Linked DNA regions of Drosophila melanogaster. The protein of the gene in region 1 interacts with the protein of each later gene in a pairwise test. Each region holds a gene or a part of one and is shown in the gene's direction. Other genes may lie near its edges. The genes, in order: YL-1, Drgx, CG13405 and tzn.

What was found.
Region 2: the proteins of YL-1 (region 1) and Drgx interact in a two-hybrid assay, tested with the Drosophila melanogaster proteins (one large-scale study listed by BioGRID).
Region 3: the proteins of YL-1 (region 1) and CG13405 interact in a two-hybrid assay, tested with the Drosophila melanogaster proteins (one large-scale study listed by BioGRID).
Region 4: the proteins of YL-1 (region 1) and tzn interact in a two-hybrid assay, tested with the Drosophila melanogaster proteins (one large-scale study listed by BioGRID).

What each region holds. Positions count from the first base shown.
Region 1 is NT_033779.5:10,968,400-10,973,246, forward strand, and holds YL-1 (YL-1), read left to right. Parts: upstream 1-2,043; 5' UTR 2,044-2,154; coding exon 2,155-2,288; intron 2,289-2,348; coding exon 2,349-2,481; intron 2,482-2,557; coding exon 2,558-2,858; intron 2,859-2,917; coding exon 2,918-3,405; 3' UTR 3,406-3,694; downstream 3,695-4,847. Other genes in the region: Tmem214 (transmembrane protein 214), read right to left, coding at 39-184, 293-497, 563-1,177, 1,234-1,529, 1,603-1,723; CG16743 (uncharacterized protein), read left to right, coding at 4,109-4,831. UniProt on the Drosophila melanogaster protein: Part of the Tip60 chromatin-remodeling complex which is involved in DNA repair. Upon induction of DNA double-strand breaks, this complex acetylates phosphorylated H2AV in nucleosomes and exchanges it with unmodified H2AV.
Region 2 is NT_033779.5:3,660,395-3,665,934, forward strand, and holds the start of Drgx (dorsal root ganglia homeobox), read left to right. Parts: upstream 1-2,350; 5' UTR 2,351-2,912; intron 2,913-5,540.
Region 3 is NT_037436.4:73,161-77,745, reverse strand, and holds CG13405 (uncharacterized protein), read left to right. Parts: upstream 1-2,413; 5' UTR 2,414-2,535; coding exon 2,536-3,108; 3' UTR 3,109-3,292; intron 3,293-3,354; 3' UTR 3,355-3,801; downstream 3,802-4,585.
Region 4 is NT_037436.4:20,796,131-20,800,894, forward strand, and holds tzn (tenzing norgay), read left to right. Parts: upstream 1-2,551; 5' UTR 2,552-2,659; coding exon 2,660-2,858; intron 2,859-3,012; coding exon 3,013-3,860; 3' UTR 3,861-3,936; downstream 3,937-4,764. Other genes in the region: CG3698 (uncharacterized protein), read right to left, coding at 1,199-2,221; Spc105R (Spc105-related), read left to right, coding at 4,349-4,375, 4,437-4,540, 4,593-4,764.

The sequences.
Region 1 (4,847 bases):
ATGCTTGGAATCGAGTGATATACTTAAGTCGCACTCACCAACAAAACCTCCTTTAAATCATCTAGGTGACCTTCGTTTCTCTTGCTTCCCTGCAGTTCTTCGTTCAGATTCGCCACATCTTGCAGAAAAGAGTGATACACAGTCGACGTAGCCAACTCATGGGTAGACGTGGTCCAATTGTCGTCTAGGAAAAGATAGAAATTCAATATTAGATAACACATTAACGTTAAGTGTGGGTGGTACTTTTAAACAAAAATCCAATTAAATGAATTTTCACAGCTGTAGATCGTACTTATAGCTTTCAGAAGCAGTAGACTAGGCAACTGTTGCTTCTTGTAGTTCATGCGCCACACCCTGAGGCAATCATCTCTGCCGCTGCTGAGCAGACAACTAATACAGCCTTCGATCTCATTAGTCTGCTTGGATCCGGCGCTTATTTCCCGGAAGAGCGTAAGGAATATGTTGGCATGCCTCACAGGACTGTTGATATAGTGTTGCTACACACAGGAGGAAGAAAGGTCAGTGAAACAATGGGACAACTATCAATTGTTTTCGTCCTTACAAGCAACAAACGCGCACTACGCTTCAGACTTTGCTGCCATTCCTTGGGCAGGTGGTTATAGGGTGCATTGAGCGCATTGTAAGTGGCAAAGAACTCCTGCTGGTTGATCTGCAGAGGATCCGCTGTCTTCCGGACAGCTGCTGCACTCAGAGCCCGCTCCATATACTCGACCACAAACTTGGTGTACTGCTTTAGCTCCAGGTTGGGCAGCATCAGGTTCTGCCACACGCGAACGCCCTCGTTTAGGGACTGATAGCCACCTTGTCCAATTGCCCACAGGATGCTCAGGCAGATGTTGCTACGGTTCTGATAGGAGTTCCTTAGCAACGCAGTCTTGGCCAGGTTCCTAGAACAAATGTTCGGCCAGTTTTGACCGATCAACTGTAGGATGAGCTTGTAGCCTGCCACTGTCTGATTGTTGTTTAGATCCGTTGACATGCTATCCAGCAGGGAGTAGAAGAAATACTCCAGGTTTTGTTCGCCCACACTGCCCAGAAACTCCACAATTGAGTACTTGAGCGAGGCGCTGGCCAAATTGCTGGGATACTGAGCCGAGCGGCCGGAGAAGATGGGATCGCAGTCATAGGACAAGGCTTCATTGAAGTATAGCGCAATCTGGGGGACAACGATAGGTGAGCAAATATTTAGGCACATTTCCTTTAGAAACATACATGGCTTAACCAGCGCAGCTCGGAGCCAGGACAACTGAGCTTCACCTGCTCCAGTTGGGCAGCAAAATCATCCCGGGTGATGTTTCTCAAGGCCAGCTCCAGAGTCTTTGGCTTCGATGCGGCTGCCGACGTGGTCCTTTTTTGGGTAGAGGCATTCTTTGCGGTGTGCTTTTTAACTGGCGACTTATTGGCTTTTGAGGAAGATGAGGCACTTGAACTAGATTTCGCAGGGGAATGGGACTTGCTGTTGTTGTTGTTGCTGCTGCCGAACAAATTGCGATACCGCTGAGTTGGCACTGCGAAGTGAATAAAATGGCAGGGGCAAACATGTAATCGCATTGCAAGGTGCACCTTTTAAAAGATTCTTACACAGCTCCTCCAGTTTGGGCAACTGGGCCGCGATGCGCTTCTGCTCGTTGTGTGCAGACACCTTCTTGTCCAGATTCTTTTGCTTGCGCGACTTGGAGACCACCTCCCATTGTTCCGACATGTTGCGAGCAGTCTTTTTATCGATGGTATTAAATTAAATCAGAAAATGCAGGCAGCCGGCAGAATAAAAAGCAACAAGCCAAGAGTGTGGCCAGCGCAAGTGTAAAGTAATGTGGTCTACTTTCGGTAGTTGAATTACCGACCGCTTTTTAATGTGATTTTAAAGCAGCTGCCTGCTTTTTGTTGTGATACATGTAATAGATAAATAAATAAATTTAGCTATGTTTTAAATGTGTTTGAATAACTGCCAATGCAGGAGAAACCATTTTCTTTACCAGGGCTGAAACGCATACCAAAGTTGTAAAGCCTCTGCGATATATACTATGTTTGCTACATTGGTCACACTGCTCTGCTTGTTTACATTTACAAATTGTAAAATATTATTATTTAATAGCTGCTTTAAATCATAGTTTCTATATATAAATAACAAAAATGGCTGCCTCGCGATCACGGCGCAACAATGCCGGCAACAAAATAGCTCATTTGCTCAATGAGGAAGAGGAGGACGACTTTTACAAAACGTCCTATGGTGGATTTCAGGAGGACGAAGAGGATAAGGAATACGAGTGAGCACTAATCATTTGAATAAATTTAAATGCTCAAGCCATATAAAATTCACTCTGCAGGCAAAAAGACGAAGAGGAAGATGTGGTTGACTCCGACTTCAGTATCGATGAGAACGACGAGCCCGTTTCGGATCAGGAAGAGGCGCCCGAGAAAAAGCGGAAACGCGGTGTCGTTAACACAAAGGCTTATAAGGTGCGAACCATTCTTAAAATGCGATAAAATCCTGTGATTACTGAATGTGTTTAAATGGTACATATGATTTCCGCAGGAAACCAAGCCTGCAGTCAAAAAGGAAACAAAGGCAACGCCGGCCCTGCACAAGAAACGACCTGGTGGTGGGGTAACGAAACGGCGGCCACGTCCACGCTTCACGGTCCTCGATTCCGGCCGCAAATCCATACGCACTTCCACGGCCATCAAGACACAGGCTACCAAAATACGCCTCAAAGAGTTGGACGATGCCCGCAAGCGCAAAAAGAAGAAGGTGCGCGTGGAGGACTACATGCCCACGCAGGAGGAGCTGCTGGAGGAGGCCAAAATAACCGAGGAAGAAAACACTAAATCTTTGGGTGGGTATCTAAAGCAACCAAGGAAGCAGCTATTTTACAATTTGCTGTTGCATTCACAGAGAAATTCCAGAAAATGGAGCTGGAGAAGAAGAAATCACGTCCCACCAAGCGCACGTTCTCCGGACCCACGATACGCTACCACTCACTAACCATGCCAGCGATGCGAAAGCCCACTCGCGGAGCAAACCCTGCGGTCGATTCAAAGGATCTTGCTGGGAAGTGCGAACGCACATTCGTTACAATCGAGAACGATTTCAATGACAAGGTGTTTCAAAGCCTCTTCCGCCACAAGGCGCCTCCCAAAGCCAGCAATGGCATCTGTCCAATCACCAGGCTGCCAGCCCGTTACTTTGACCCGATCACACAGCAGCCATACTACAGCATCCAGGCCTTCAAAATTCTGCGCGAAGCCTACTACATGCAGCTGGAACAGCAAGGCGGCGGCAGCGAGCAACCCGAACTGGCCAAATGGCTGGAATGGCGCAAGCTGGTCAAGGAGAATCGTCTGAAGGCTTCGGCAGCTGCCAGCAAAAACGGAGATAACTAATAATGCTATCAATTTTATAGTTCATTAAGCTATACGTATTTTTCGAATAAAAAGGTATAAGAAATCACAAACTACTCTTTGGACAACCCTCGTCAATTTCAGGCAGTACCAAACGATTACCTAATATATTTCATACAATGGCGACAATGGAAAAGTAGTACATAGGGTATTTCCCAAAACGTTATCTTTAAAAAGTATTTATAATCAACGCACAGTCTGTTTTGATTTTATTTATCAGCAGCATCCGGTTTATTAACTTAAGAAGTTGATAAAACAGTTTACACAAAAGAAAGTTTATCTTGCTAATCCAATTTGTATATGTAAAACCCATTTATTACCTTTTAGTATCTAATTTTAATTGCCGCTCTATTTAAAAGTTTAGTTGTCTAAATAATAAAAGCGTCGCAGTCTTCTATTAAGATTATTCAAAAGAATTGTTTCGCTTAATTTGCGTCAAATTGATAAGCACACAGCCTCTCTTTGCAATATATAACAAAATCTGGAGGAAATGCGGTTGTTCCGACACACAATAACTAATTAATAAGTATGAGACATTACATCACATAAATTATTAACCCATTGTATTCTCTATTTATAATCTATGGGCGAAGTATTGTTCATTTCCGAATGAAATTGTTTTTCAATCCTAAACTCTTACAGGGAATTAGTTGAGTGGGCCCTGCCGCAACCTTGTCGCATCTGTATGTTTTTGTCGACTTATCAAAATCAACGCACGCGCTGGCTATTTGAATTGTCGGAACGGGAACGGGACAAGGTATTGTGTGAGCAAGATTTAGTCATACCCGTGAGCTTAGATCAAACGAACGTCGTGCGTTTAAACGGAGAAATGAAGAGCTGTGCGGCGATTGGAGTCCTTCTGGTACTGCTACTTCAGTACGAAGTGGTTAGGACGGACAGCGATAGCAGCGACAGCAGCAGCAGCAGCAGTGGAGAGAAGAAGCACAAGCACTCCAAGACGGAGCACAAGTACAATTATCCTGCATATCCTAATCCGGGCTATCCTCCGTATCAAGAAATGGGAGGCTATCCTTCATATCTCTACAATCCGTACATGCCGTATCCTCCGTATCCTCAAATGGGAGGCTATCCTTCATATCCCTACAATCTGTACATGCCCCCACCACCACCACCACCGCCACACCCGCAACAAGCTCCGCCACCATCAATGTATCCACCCGACCCGTCCGGATATCCAGGCGGCTATCCACCGCAGGGGGCTCCCGGACAGAATCCAGTTAACAACCCAAATGCGATCCCCAATCAGCCTCAGGCACAGCAGCCTGCCAGCGGCCCGGGATCAGGGCCTGCCCCGAACTATCCTCCAGGCGGCTCGAGCGTTATTAATCATTCCCTTAAGGTCAACAAGGAATACAACGAGGACGGTCACCACCAATCTTCAACGTAGTCGCAGTCGAGATACA
Region 2 (5,540 bases), 7.3 Mb from region 1:
AAAGCGTGCTCCAAAAGGGGCAGTGGGTGTGGAAGGCGGAGGGCTGGAAAAAACGTGAAGTGGGGTTGGGGGGGGGTAAATGGATGGCAGACTGGAGATTGTCCTGCTATTGAGGCGGTTTTCTGCCGGGTGGGGCTCAGCTCTGCAGGCAATTTAGACAGTCAAGTGCCCATATAAATTACATAAATTTCACCCAGGAACTGCCGGGCACCGAGAAAATGGTGGAAAAGGGATAATAAATAAGTACTTTAGTTCAAATTGTAGAAAGATATTAGAAGATTAAGAAAGCCAAGGCGTGCTATTTGCTTAAGTTATTAATAAGCGCATCTCTAAGTAATTTTTGTAAAATTATAACAAATAGCTCATAACAACAAAGCTTATCACATAACTGATAACTTCGCCAATATTGACAATTTTATGACAAGCAAACTGTTATAAAATCATCCACCCAAAGTGGAAAATGCAACACGAGTAGTTTCCGTGGATGGAAAAATCTTTTTTCCTCCTCCGAATCGCTGGAAACTCACCTGCCAAAGGAAGAGGCGTTAGAAGCCGAGTGCCACGCCTTCTCTCTGGCGTCCAAAACGAATCCCAGACTCATCTATTATGAAGTAGGTAATTCCACTAAAACGAACCAACCAAGAAAAGCGCCGAAAATGTAGAGGGAGTGGAAAATAAACACAATCAAAGAGGACAAAACAAAATTTAAGCGCAAAATGAAATGAAATTCGGATTGGAAATGAAACTAAAATACAAACTAATGATGGAGGAACGTAGTGGGGCCGCAATCCAGGAGCCTGTGGGTGGCAAAGGAAGTAAGCTAACAATAGACAAAGTCATAAATCAGGGCGCCAATTTGCAGGCCTGACAGGCTACCCCCAAATGAAAGGAGCGGCAGGCGAGGGGAGAGCGTAGGAGAGCCAGAAGAAACTGAATAGTTATCCTGCACGCCCAAAATGCCAAATTCAGAACACTTTAAAAAATATATTCTCAAATGATGATCAAGTTTTTACAATTGGATTATGATAATAAAATAGAAAGCAGTTGCAAAATATTATAAAAAATATTACATGTTTTTTTTAGAATTTGAAGAGCATCTACTCATACTATTTCAAAGATTGTAAAGCAAAGTATTTTATTTCGCTTGATATTTATATAATGTTTTACCTAGGAATAAGAACATTTCAGGTAAGATTTGTGATGGAATTACGGCAGTGCATAAAAGGGGAAGAATAGGGACTGCGGAAGGCCACAAATTCATTTCGTAATTGTGGCCAAAGAGCCATGTGGCAAGAAGGGGGGGTGGGGTTGAGAGAGGGGTCAGAGGTCGAGGGGCGAAGGACAGCTAGAGGAACCCATTCAGGCAAACAATAATAAATGGGATCCAAGATGGCGTCACTGGGATTGGGAATTGCTATTATACGGGGTGTTTTCTTCTTTGGGGGAGGAAACAGAAAAGCCATAACAATGATGCTCCATAATAAATTAACTGAAATTCACTTAGTTATTTATTTTTTGCCCAAGATGAGAGATTAATCTAAATAAATTGAGTTGTCAAGTGGGGCACAAAGAAAAGAAAAAGTTCGTGGGGGGTGGGGAGGGGTAAAAAATGATATGCCAAATAAATACCAACGGTGAGTAATCGTTTTCTTATTGTTACTGCTGTAGTATCCTCTTCCTCTTCCCCGAAGAGCACCAAAGCGATTCCCCGAAGAAGGCGATTCTTCTTCCCGTATCGCCCATTTCTTCCCGCATCCCCCACCCCCCTGCCCCACACACATTCACCACACTTAACGATGAAAATCCAATTTAAGGCTGCCTCAGTTGTTTGCGCTCTCCTTCCCCCCCTTGGGGCTAGTCCCGTCTCTTTCGCTCGCTCTCTCCTTGCCACCTAAATAAAGTGTAATAAAATAAAGTAGATAGGGATAAGAGTAGATAGGGATATTAGGAACACGAGAGCCCCTTCAACGTTTCTGTTTTTGTTTTTGCAGCTCTCCATGCCGAAAATTCAATTTCCACAATGAAAATGCGCGAGAAAATTGTCTTACATGCCGGAGAAAGAGCAAAAGAGAGAGGGAGTGAGGGGGTTGGGTGAGCGAGCGAGATGGGTATATGTCTCGAAACAACTGCGCTTTGGTTTGCTGGCTGCGCGGCGCATGCGCGAGCGAAAATAACGGGAAATGGCAAAGGCGGCGCTTAGGGGCATCATCCCCATTCCTCCTCCTCCATCTCTTTCCCACCCGCAGCCATCTTTCTGCCGGCGCAGATCTAATTTGCAGCCGACTGCGCTGTCGACGTTGCGACTGCGGCAAGCACCGTTAGATCATTCGCATTCTGACGTTTCACGCGGTCGGTTGAACACTATCCACACTACTATATATATGTCATATAGATCTTACTAAATCCCCCGAAAAAATACGTATTACCCGTCTGGATTAAATGACAATTTTTTAATCTCTAAAAGGAAACTTTTCCGTCGGCAAAACGGTGCTGCGAACAAGGCTGGAAAAACTCAAAACTCCTCATAGACATCCAGCTCCTTCAAGTGCTAAACCTACGTGTGTGTTTGTTCTTAACCCAAAACTAACTACTCTTTGCGGCCTATTACCTCTGAGATTGAGCGTGTAATTTGTAGAGGAATCCTTAACATTGCCCAACTTCCTTTGTGATTCGCCCACGTATCCTTGTTGAAAACTTTTTGCAAAACTTCCTGGCAAGTGTTTAGACTTGTTTAGCTCGGGGAAACTTTCGCACCTTTGTCTTGCGTGTTCGTTCGTTCTGTGAAAATTGCGAAAAAGTTAAACTCAAACAGAGCTCAGCGCCAAAAAGTCAAAAAAACAAGAGCGACAAGGGATTTTCTTCTGTCACACGCTTGAAGTATTGCTGCCAAAATTTTCACGGACGGTAATAAGGTAATATCTCTTATGCACTCATTTGATTTATAACAAAGTCGGAAATTCCTTTAGAAAAGAATTATTATTAACGGGTTTTGGAACGTTATGATCGAATTGTTTGTTATCCTCAAGCAACTGATTCAAAAGATAATCCTCAACTTCCCATTCAAATCGCAGCACACCGTGCGCTCATAATTTATTTAGACGCTTTTAATTTGCATTAAGGAAATTTCCTAATGAGTTTCAGTGTGATAAGAATCTCGGCCTTCGAGAGTCCGGAGTCCTGGAGTGTGTGTTTTTGTGAGCCAGACCCGAAGTGTCTGGCAAAAGTGTTTGTGCCGATGCCTTTCCTGTGAGAAATCGCACAAAACTCGTCAAGCACTTGAAGTGCAAATGTGAAAGAAGCGTGGATTGGAGGCGAAAAAAGAATTAAAACCAAAATTGGTGTATGCATAAAGGATTCGGCAGCAAGGATCCAAAAGGAGATTGCCCCCGAAAACAGCAAGGGATGGGGTATTTCGGTTGAAAACTCGCCGCTTAATTGAAGACAGACCAAAAGTTGATCACTCCGCAAATGCAGTTTGAATAATTGATGGTAATTAAGAGAGGGAAAAAAAGAGGAGACAGCTCGTGGATTCCGATTCTCCATGTGCGCAACGGAGATGGAGCAAGGGTACAAAATCAATGGCAAATAATTCGCCAAAGAGCAAACCAAACAAAAAAAAAAAGAAGTGGGGAAAACGAAGTTTCAAATTAAATTGATCAACCGCAAATTAATTGGCAGCCATGCAAACGTTCAACGCTCCACTGGATGCCACGCCCACGCAAGAGGGCGGTGGGTGGCACACAGGGTTGGGAAGTCTGACTGGATGGATCCACATAGGAGTCAATTGGAGTTGACGAACGGTTTTTCCATTCGTCGCCAAGTTTTGTTCGATTCGTTCAACTCAATTAGGGAAGCATGGGTGCAAAAAAGGGGCAGTGAAATGGGCGCTGAATGGGGGGGTTAAAAAGGGGGCTGGTGCGATAGGGCCGCATACAAATAAAATACAATTTGGCATATTTAAATTAGCAAATGGAATTACCGCAGAGAACGTTAGTCGAAGGAGGTTAGTTCGGCCATGTTTATTGATTGCTTGATTGAATTGGGCAACGAATTGGTGAATGCTCCAAATTGATGGATAGATTGGAGTCCACACATTCTCGCCGAGGCTTTCCATATGCAAATGAGACATGTCACCGTACCACTAGTTTCAAAAAGATATTTAACCATCTAAATATTAACTTATTGTAATATATTAATATATTTATAATGAATAATTCGACAATTAGAACTGATTATCTGTATATAGCATATTCATTTGATTTCGTCATCACACTCTTAGCAAATTTCATAGCCCACTTTAATTCATCCCCTGTGTTTCTCAATCACTTAACGACCCCCCACAAAGCTTAATAAATATATGGTGCCAACACCTCCCATACCCTAACCAACTGAAATGCACAAAACAATTTGCTTTAATTAAACAGAAAATTCAATCAAAATATTTATAAAACAAGAAGACCAAGTCAGTAGGGGTGATCAACGGATTTTCCTCCCCATGCGGGCGCCCCGAAGATGACGATATACCATACATATATGTATTTATGTATGTATATCAAGTATATATAATTGAAAGGGTTAGCTTTCGGAATCGGCTCTGTTTGGCTTTCGAGTTTGTATAAGCTGGCGGCACTTGGACACGAAAAACTGGCGGGGGTGCAACACGGCTGCCTAATTCAATTTACGCTCATTTTTTGCAGTGCAGCATTCGGGCGCTGATTCGCTGGTGGGTGGCTCTCCGGCCAAATGCACTGCATCATTTCGGTCCGATTTACACTGAGGCTCTGATTCCCTGATTCTAGGCGCGAGCCAATTGACACAATCAAATTCGAACCTCGCAAATTCGCTTAATGCGCCGCGAGACAAAAACAAGAGCAGCAAAAAAATATGCAAAAAAAAAAAGGAAAACGCTCAACCAAAACTGCAATCAAGAGGGATACTTAGATGGGGGCATATGCAAATGGTTTGGCTAGACAGTGGAGATTCCAAAAACATGAAAGTGTAACAACTTGTATGTATTTCATTTAAATATTAGATAGATCATTGAGTAGATAGATCATAACTCTCAGCTACTGTGATATGAATATTATATTGAAAAATCCTTTCCGCACCTGGAAGCTCTACTGTATCCATCATATCACAGCCCACTCCAAGTTGGATCATCAGTGGCAGACTGCGCCAGTTTAGTTTGATTACGCCGGCCGGACAGGCAGACATTTCTAAAAACGGATGCACTTTACTTCGGTGGCAAAAGTGATAACCTCATCGCTGGACGGCCAGTTTACCGCCACCCACTTCCACCTCCTCCTCCTCCTCCCATTACCATATCATCTCACCTCAGTGGGAAATTATCGCGCTCTCGGTTTGGGGCAACAACAAAAACAAAAAAAACTAGGAAAACTAGAGCTAAACGAGTGTGTGGGTGGGCGGTAGGCAATTTCGCAAATGCGTTTAAGTGGCTCTAATGCCAGCGGGACGGGGCTTTGGAGCAGGGATGCGCACGTGGATATGCCCATGGATGTGATATCCACAAGCGGAGGCAC
Region 3 (4,585 bases), on another chromosome or scaffold:
CGCATTACTATGTCGCAAGAGTGACATTTCAACGCAGTCAACAGGACACTTTTCATGGACACACATCTAATCTCTTACACTCGCCAAAATCCTACGCCGGAACATTTTTTAATTCTGTTCCTCAGAAAATAAACTTTGTTTTTAATGTTCAACATGTGGTAACTGATGAGTTTTATATATATGTCAAGCGGAATTATATATTTGGATTTAAACACGAGATAGTTTTTTTTTTTTTTTGTGAGCAGCCTTGTCTTATTGAGTCCAGTTGACTGGTACTGCAGCATTCCTTGACATTAAAGTTACGAAGTGGTTTATTGCCACCCGTGATGCTAACAGCAATTTTTACCCCCAGTTCATCATGTGGAATTACAACGCATTTATTTACTTTGTTTACATCACTTATTATTGTTGTTAATATTGGTATTGCAATGTGTTTGTTTTTTTGTTTGCCCTTTTTTTGTGCAAAAATTGATTTTTCTTCTGGGTCTGCCCCGCTCACATTTCCACCTCCTCCCTTCGCTGCCATCCCTTGAGCGTGTCAGAGTTCATCATTACGCCCGTCTAATGTCAAAGATTGTCAACCTTCGCTGAGCGGTTGTGTTTAAATATTACAAATACGACATGTTGTCATGCCACATGAAGACCGGCTTACTAGAAAGGGCGGTCTCAACAAACCCTATTCTCACACCATCACACGACTTTTTTATTACGTCCCCTTTTAAATTATGCTCTGTGAATGGGAATGATTAAAATAATAACAAAAAAGGAAATCAAGCGACGAAATAATATACTGAGTTGACAATACGTTTAAGAGGCCATTTTAAAATAAAAGTTTACCAGGACAGAGAGAGTAGAGTGCCTCGACTACAAGATACCTCTCACTCAGGTGATAATCGGGGTGGCAACTCACTGAAACAAACTGCGACAGCATACGCTGCGGAAGGAAAATGCACAATAAATGGAAATAGAAAAGTTTAATTGAAACTCATTCAAAAAAAAAAAAAAAACAATCAAAGCATGCTAAGGATCTCTATATCTGAAACAGATGCTCTCTACAAAATAGTTGCAGTGAAAAATGGCAAGAGAGTGGGCAAAGAAAAGCGCAGAAGGAGAAAGGCTTCATGATGAAGGATGCTTGTTGTTTGCTGCAGTTAAATTAAATGAAAAAGTTTAAAACTTTTTTAATGAAACCATTTTATTCAGTAGAGGCATAAACAAAAAAACAGTCCCCATTCCGTTGTAACAATAGCACAAAAAAGATGCAAGACAAAGGAAAACAAAAGTCTGAGCGGAAGAAAAACTTGATGCAACTTGCATGGTCTGAAAGGAATCAAAAAAAAAAAAAAAAAAAAAAGAATAAAATGTCCCAATAAAAATCAAAATATGTATGAGACTTAAAGGGGGTGGCCTATGCTTGCTTTCAACTTTGTAAATTAAATTGCCCGTTATTTGATTTAAAATGGGCGGCGCAGTCTTTTTGAGCTTAAGTGACGTATGCGTAATCTGAATGGGGAGCTAATCGAAAAGCCACCTTGATACGGACGATAAAACCCATAGGCTCTGGCTATGGGTGTTCGCTTCTAATGCAACTGTCGCTTTCAGGGACTCGCAAGCAATTGGTAATTACGCCAAAAATTAAACAGGGACGTAATCAAGAAAACATCAAGGATAAAAGCTTAAGCTTGGACCAAACAAGGTGCTTATTATTTAATTAAGTAAATTCAAATAAATTAAATTAAATAAATAAATAAATTTAAATTTGTATATCCCTATATCGACATATTCAATTTCTTTGCTAAACATTGTTCTCTACATTTTTGTCTTTCATTGCACACAACTTTGCAGGTACATTTTGCGTACATATTGTGCATTCCTATTATGCCATTCAATGCACCAGTTTGATATTAAAACAGCAACTTGTGTCGCTGGGCCAGTTATCAAATACATACCCTTTCTTTCCTGGCTTACAGGTTGTAATCTGTTAGAATTCACGTCTTAACTACCGGTAGTACGATGAAACGACCCTGCTGCGAGATAAACATTATGCCAAATTAAAATGCATTCTGTAGTTTCTATAATTAATGCGAACGCATGCCGTCGAGTGGTGCGCTTTGAAACGTAATCCACCGGATCCAGCCACAAGAAATCACTGAGTCAATAAAAGCGTGAAATAAGAGAGATGAGATTGTAGAAGGAATGAAGTTAACGGCGCAACAGCTATCATGATGGCAGAAGAACAATAAATCGTATATGAAAAGATCTAATAACGAGGGAAACGGAAACGGAAGTTATTGAAGTGCTAAAAAAAATGGCGAACTGAAATAATAAAAGTAGTTGTTGTGTGCAGTAAACTGAGATTTTACTGGCTCTAAGGTGTGGAGTTTTATGTTTACGTTTGTCGATCACATGATAAATCTACTACAACAATTTGTATTTGATTTATATATCAAAATTTGGTTTATTAAAGTATTTCATAATTATGTAAACTAATACCCCTGCATCGCTTAATACAATTTATCCCTAACATCCGAAGCAATGTCTGATGTGGAGCAAGAAGCCTCTGGAGACGTTGATAATGAGCAAAATGAAGGACAAGAAGCTGCTGAAGATTTTGAGGGAGAGGGCGAAGGAGACGAACAGGACGTTGAAGAGGAAGATAAGTTCGAGGTGGAGGAGAAGGATCCCTTTGAGCTCCTCAATGAGAGCGATGAAGACGATGAAGAGCAACAGGCAATGTACAAGGAGTATCAGGAGGTGGTCAACGCTATTGATGCGCAGAACAGGATTATAAAAGAGCTCAAGGCAAAGTCCAATCGACTGATGTTCAAGAAGTGCAAGACTTATAGAGACAAGCAGGAATACAAACAACTTAGGGTCTGTCAGGAGCATGAGGAGATCCATTTAAAGGTTCTCGTGAATAGAGCCATGCACCTCCAAAACTTCGGTTCACCTAGGCGCTACAGAGATATAGAAATGGAAGTCACAGAGGACGAGAAGAGCTACTTTTATACTGAACTACAATCGACCTTATCAGGCTTTTGTCCCACGGATTCGGCTGACGAATATGAGTCGGATTCTGAATCGGATAATGGACTATGTTGTACCTAGTTTCCTAGCGGAGTTTCCGAAAATTGACGGGGAAAAGTTATGAAAATACTTGAATAATTGTGGAATATCTTCATATTTTACATATATACATATCTACACATATCAACGACACTGCACTCAATAAAATGGGAAAGGATGGAGGGAATGTGAATAAAAAATGCAAGAAAATTTCAATAAAATGCAAGTAAATGCAAAATTTAATTTAATCCCTCGATTTCTAAAATATCTGCCTAGCACTTCTTTTAGCTGGGTTTAATAGTCAAGAGTCCAGACGTGGAGTAGCCAAATAGCGGGAAAGTGTAGAGCAATAGCAATAAGCGCAAAAACAAGACGATTGTGCCCCCAGACAGAATAAGGGGATCAAAGCAAAACAGCCATAAACAAATAACCGAAGAGGCACAGAAAGACGCCAGTAGACGAGAATGAATCGAAACGAACTGAATTGAACCAAAACTTCTCTCGATGATTTCTTCGTTCCCTCCTCCTTCTTTTATTATGCCTCAATTCTCACTCTCCGCCAAGTGCCACGCCCATTGTGGCGCTTGATGGGGAACACTTCGCAAAAACGAGATAGTTTGACGTTTTCTACACAACTGGTCACTGTTTAAATTTTATTTACATTTAGAAAGATTTGGAGAAAAGTGAAATGTAAATTATTTCGATTAAAAGATAATTTATGTGGACTTGCAACTTAGAAATTTATGGTTTAACCCTAAGGTGGAAAATTCAAAAGCGCGATTTTAGAAGGGGAATGTTGTCGGCGCCAAATTCGCCAACCCAATGTGCAGAAGCAGCGGCTTCGACCGCGTTGCGACGTCACCTTGCGTCCATTCACCCCGTTCATCATTGTTTATGAGTGTGTGCCCAGACACAAAAACAAGCACACATTAACGTATACAGCAAAATTCCTTTAACTGTGCTTCGATTCCATTCCATTTTCCATCTGGTTCTGTTTCTGTTTTTTGGACCTCTGCCTTGGGTCTTCTGTTCATGTCTCTTCGCCCCCCCCCCCCCCCCCCACCCAATTCTCCAACCCTACTGCGTTCTCCCGCTTGTTGTTATTGCACTGTCTGCGGCTTGGGTATTTTTTACGCGCCTGTGCTCCATTCCACGTTCCCAGTCTCCCCGTCTCGTTCCAACAACCTTGGTATATATCTTCGCCGCCCAAAAAAAGTGTGCGAAAAATACTCTAGGAAGATTCAGAATCGCGGAGTCGGATCTAGGAGAGTCGTAATTATTCATGTTTTTTTTTTTAGATACATGTATGTATGTATGTATGTATAACGTGTATGTATGTATGTATAACGTTGGCGAGCAAGTGAAACGGAAACACAATAAGAAGAAGAAAAAAGAATCAAGGTGTCATGCCCCTCCAGAACAAGCTTCAGTGGAAGGGCGAGCAGATGGAAAAAGAATTGCGTCTCGTGTTCATTTTTTTTTTTGTGTGGATATAGACTTTCGCTGGTGGGTCACAAAC
Region 4 (4,764 bases), on another chromosome or scaffold:
GGAAGGCGGTGTAAGACGATCCTTAGTTGGCAACCAGCTAGCTCATTGTTCTCGTCGAGGAAAGCTCGCTGGTGTTTGTTTCCTTTTTCAACGCGACCGCTAAACAACAAAACTACAACTTTTCCACCTAATACTCTTCAGCTATTTGTATACCTGACCAGATTTGAATATGATTATTGATTGCAGTTTACCTTCTGGATAGGAATTCTGTTGAAAGTCGGAAACCCGAGCAGATTGGCAACTGATTTCCATCATTCTACCTGATCTAGATCAGATTTGTTTATTTGCTCTTTCTAAATTTGGTATGCAGAGTTCTTGGGAAATTTTGGCCAAAAATGAATGAAAATTTGAAGAATGAAATCTGATAAAATCAAAGCACCATTGATAAAAAAAAAGACGGCTGTTTCTCACCATTACATAGAGAAAAATTGTCCAACGATATTAATATTTTCACTATATATTATTTATATTCAAGTTCTATATTATTTATGGCTAGCTTTAAATGGGATTTCAAATTCTCTTGTGCATCGTTGTTTTCTAACGACTTTATTAAGCGAAAATTGTAAACTAATTATGCGCTGCCAAACGAAATTCCCGCGGGACACAATTAGTGTGTTTTTTATTTTTTATTTTGGACATATGCTTTCCCCGGCCGCAAAATGAGCAAATAAATCATAAATGTTTCATTCAACGTAATTGAGCCAGAACTTACCCCTAAGTTCTCCTTCTCCGAGGGGCAGGGGTGGGTCACCATGCCTACACTTCTGTGAAACGAGAAAAACAATGTAATCCGAGAAGGTTTTTTGGAATGTGCGTAATATTGTGTGAAGGCTGCGAGGTGGAAAAACTTCTTCAGTTTTAGGGGTTGTAATGGCTCCGCCTACGGGAACAAGTGGAAGTGAAACAAAACGGTCAACGGAACAAAATTGAAATGAAACAGATTCAATGGGGGAATCCTTTTAAATTTATAGTTCATACAAATATTGATTATATACAAATATAAAAAATATGTATTTAATAATATTATTGCCTGATATTATATATTGCATTATATTACATTTGTACAAGCAGTTGTAGTTTTCTATCCTTAATTTAAAATGAGTAGAATTTATATAAAGTCCGTACTTATTTTTAATATAACAAGAAAAGCACTTCGAAAACGAACAATAACAATTTAACAGCGTAAACGAAACGAAACTCAAACCTCTTTGGCCAGCTTATGGACCTGGCGATAGTTGACGTCCACCAATCGTATACTGCCGCCCACCGTGGCCAGCGGTTTCATCAAGTTGTTCAGGGTGGTGGCCACCGGATCGAGGATGTCCCTGGCGGAGCACAGTACATTGTATAGGAAAATCAGTGGTGGCTGCAGGTAGCCGTTGAAGAGCATGGTCAGGAGGGGCTTGAGCAAGTAGTCGGAGGTCATGTGGAGCAGTCCAACGATCAGGGTGTTCACCAGGGAGTAGAGGACAAATCGGTAGCTCTGCAGAATGAAGGCTACCACGAAGGCCACGGCGATGTGCAGCAGTCCGAAGAGCTCCGCCCAGAAGTGGGTGGCATAGGTGGTGGCGCGGTCGGCCAGGACAATAGCATTGATCTTCGGATGCGAGTCCGTGGTGCTCAGATAGTCGGCGCAGCCATGCTCGAAGGGATAGATGCCGATGCAGGTGTGCCGGTTGGCCTCCTTGCGATTCCACTGTGGCTCCGGCAGATCGTCGATGATGGAATTTCGGCTCTGCGGCTGGCACTTGCACATCTTGTCCAGCGACTCCACTAAACGGGCTAGAAAGCCACTCTTCTGCTTCTGCTTCTGCGCCTGCGATGATTTGTGGGACTTTGTGGCACGACCCTTCACTTTCGGCGCAGTTCTCGTTGGGACGAGCACACGGGGACGGCGCTTGGAGTAACGCTGGAACTCGATCCTTTGGGGCTTGCTCTTGCTCAGGCTAAGCTGACTCTTCCCCGGCTCAGCGTGCATCTCGTACAGAGTGTGTGGTGAGCTCCCCGAATCCGTGGACGCGGTCATTTCCCCGTGCGCCACATCCTTGAACATGTTGTACTGCGTCTGACTGTGCTGATATGCGTCGGAATCGCTGGAGGAGTTCAGCCGTGGGAAGATCTTCTTCAGGGGAGACTGCAGCTTGGCCGTCACCCCCACGTGGTTCACCTTGATCAGGTTGGACTTGGAGGTGGCGCAATGGGGATCGGTTGATTCCGACATAGTGACTTTATGTTCTAAACTTATGACGTGCCGCTTCAAAGCCAACTGACGTCTTTTTCGTACATATGATCTGAATTCAAGTTAGGCGTGCCAAAAAGTTAACTTATAAGCTTTTTACCACAGAAGAGAACATATACTCTTTGGCCTAGAGACAAGAATATATAATTTAATATAAAAATGTATTTTTATTATTATTGGCTTATGTCTGTGCTATAAAACTTTTCATTTCCGGTTTGAGCCACCACTACGTTTGCAGGTATGTTTCGGTATATTTCCGGTAGATGGTGTACCCGTCAGTGGTTTCCCTTACCGGCCCCCAAACGGTCACACTCGCCCGAGCATAGCAGATTTGGAGAAAAAAACAACTGTAATTAGGAGCCATAATTAATTCATTTCGAATCGCACACGCTTTTCAGTTTATCTAGCCGAAAGTACAGAATGTTGGCCTCCGCCTGGCGCAGCGTGGCCACCTCCGTGGAGACCCAGTTGACGGCCACCTACTTCCGAGGTTCGTCCAGCAATCCGACACTGCTCCTGCGTTCCTGGCGGACGATTCCTCGAGCGGATGCCCCTGGTTTCGGAGCGATTCGGCGGCGTTTTCTGGCTGTGCCCGTCATCTGTCCAAGTCTCGTCAAGCGTAATCTATCCGTACATACGTGTTTAATCTAATCTCTCCCGGTGCTGCAATTTCATTTCCCAGTATCTACGCTTTTTGTTCGTCCGTAGCTAGTCAGTCTGTTTATCTGTTGGCCATCTATGTAGCTAAATGTGAAACCATCGCTTCGTTTCAGTGCAAAAACTACGAAAAGTCGGCTTCAGAGGCATGCACAGCACATTGGAGGACGTGCAGCTGGAGGGCATGGAGATCAAGATCCTGCCGGCCCTGCAGGATAACTATATGTATCTGATTGTAGACACGAAGACGCGCGAGGCGGCCGTGGTGGATCCCGTGGAGCCGGAGCTGGTCATTAAGACGGTGCAGGAGCAGCAGCTGACCCTCAGCAAGGTGCTGACCACGCACCATCACTGGGACCACGCCGGTGGCAATGAAAAGCTGCTCAAGCTGTGGGAGAAGGAGCTGGACGTGTATGGCGGCGATGACCGCATCGGGGCATTGAACAAAAAGGTTCAGCAGGACGACACCTTCACCATTGGTGGTCTGCATGTCAAGTGCTTGTCCACGCCGTGCCACACTACCGGCCACATCTGCTACCACATCACCGCGCAGCAGGGCAGCGGCGAGGGAGCCGTCTTCACCGGCGACACCCTCTTCCAGGGCGGATGCGGCCGCTTCTTCGAGGGCACTCCCGAGGAAATGTACGAGGCGCTGTGCACAAAGCTCTCCGCCTTGCCGGACGCCACAAAGGTGTTCTGTGGCCACGAGTACACGCTGCAGAACATGAGCTTCGCCCGTCACGTCGAGCCCGACAACGAGGTCATCCAGCAGAGGATCGAGTGGGCCAAGCACCGGCGCGCCTCCCAGGATCCCACTGTGCCCTCCACCATTGGCGAGGAGAAGTCCTGGAACCCCTTTATGCGCGTTCACGAAGCCACCGTGCAGAAGCACGCTGGCGGAGCCACCGATCCCGTCGTCACCATGGGCAAGCTGCGCAAGGAAAAGGACACCTTCAAAGCCTGATCTATTTCCTCGAAAGTTTCGAAACTTGTGATTTAATATTGGATTTTAATGGTTAATAAAATTAACGATGTGTGTGAAGTGCGGACAATGGATTTTTAATTATTCGCAATTTATCGGATTAAAACTTTTTTTGTTTTATTCAAATTATGACATAAATTTATTTCTTCAGCTTTATTTAAAAGAATTTATTTTTGGTATTTTGGTCTAGCAACACCCTAGAGAAGAGGGTACTGGTTGATTCCAACTTTATTCATAGAGCAATGAACTTAACAAATTTTTTAAATCCAAAGATTTTAGCAAATTTCGTAAAATTTGAATCACAACGGTTTTGGTTAGGCGTTAGTGCCTTTTGGGCATATCAAAAATACTTTTGGTATTTCTAGCGATCTATCGCCAACGATCTGGCAACACCGTCTGCCATTAACACAAAAATCGCGGCGTCTCTCCAATGGGATTTTGAAATAAAAACAAGTTAACAGCACGGCGCGATGAACGCAAACAAACGCAGAAGTTCGGTGGGTTCTTCGAAAATTAATTGATTGAGAAGCGCTCATGGTAGACCTACTCTTCTTGCAGCTGCGTAAGGTGCCGACCAAGGAAGATGAGGCGACCACAACAACGTCCGCGATCAAACAACAAATCAAGCGACGCATCAGTTTCAGTGGCAAGAAGTCCGTGAGGTACGTACAGTAGATATATGCGATGTACAACGCTCACCCGCCCTCCACATAGGGAATTCGTAAACACCAAGGAGACCAACAACTGGGACGACTCGTACGAGGTGTCGGAACACCATGCTGAGGACAGCTCGGGATCGAAGTGCTGCAGCACAGGATCAGCATCAGTAGCGAGGGTTTCCGAACATGCCGACAAGGAGAACATTCCCCTGCCCAGCCACTGCGAG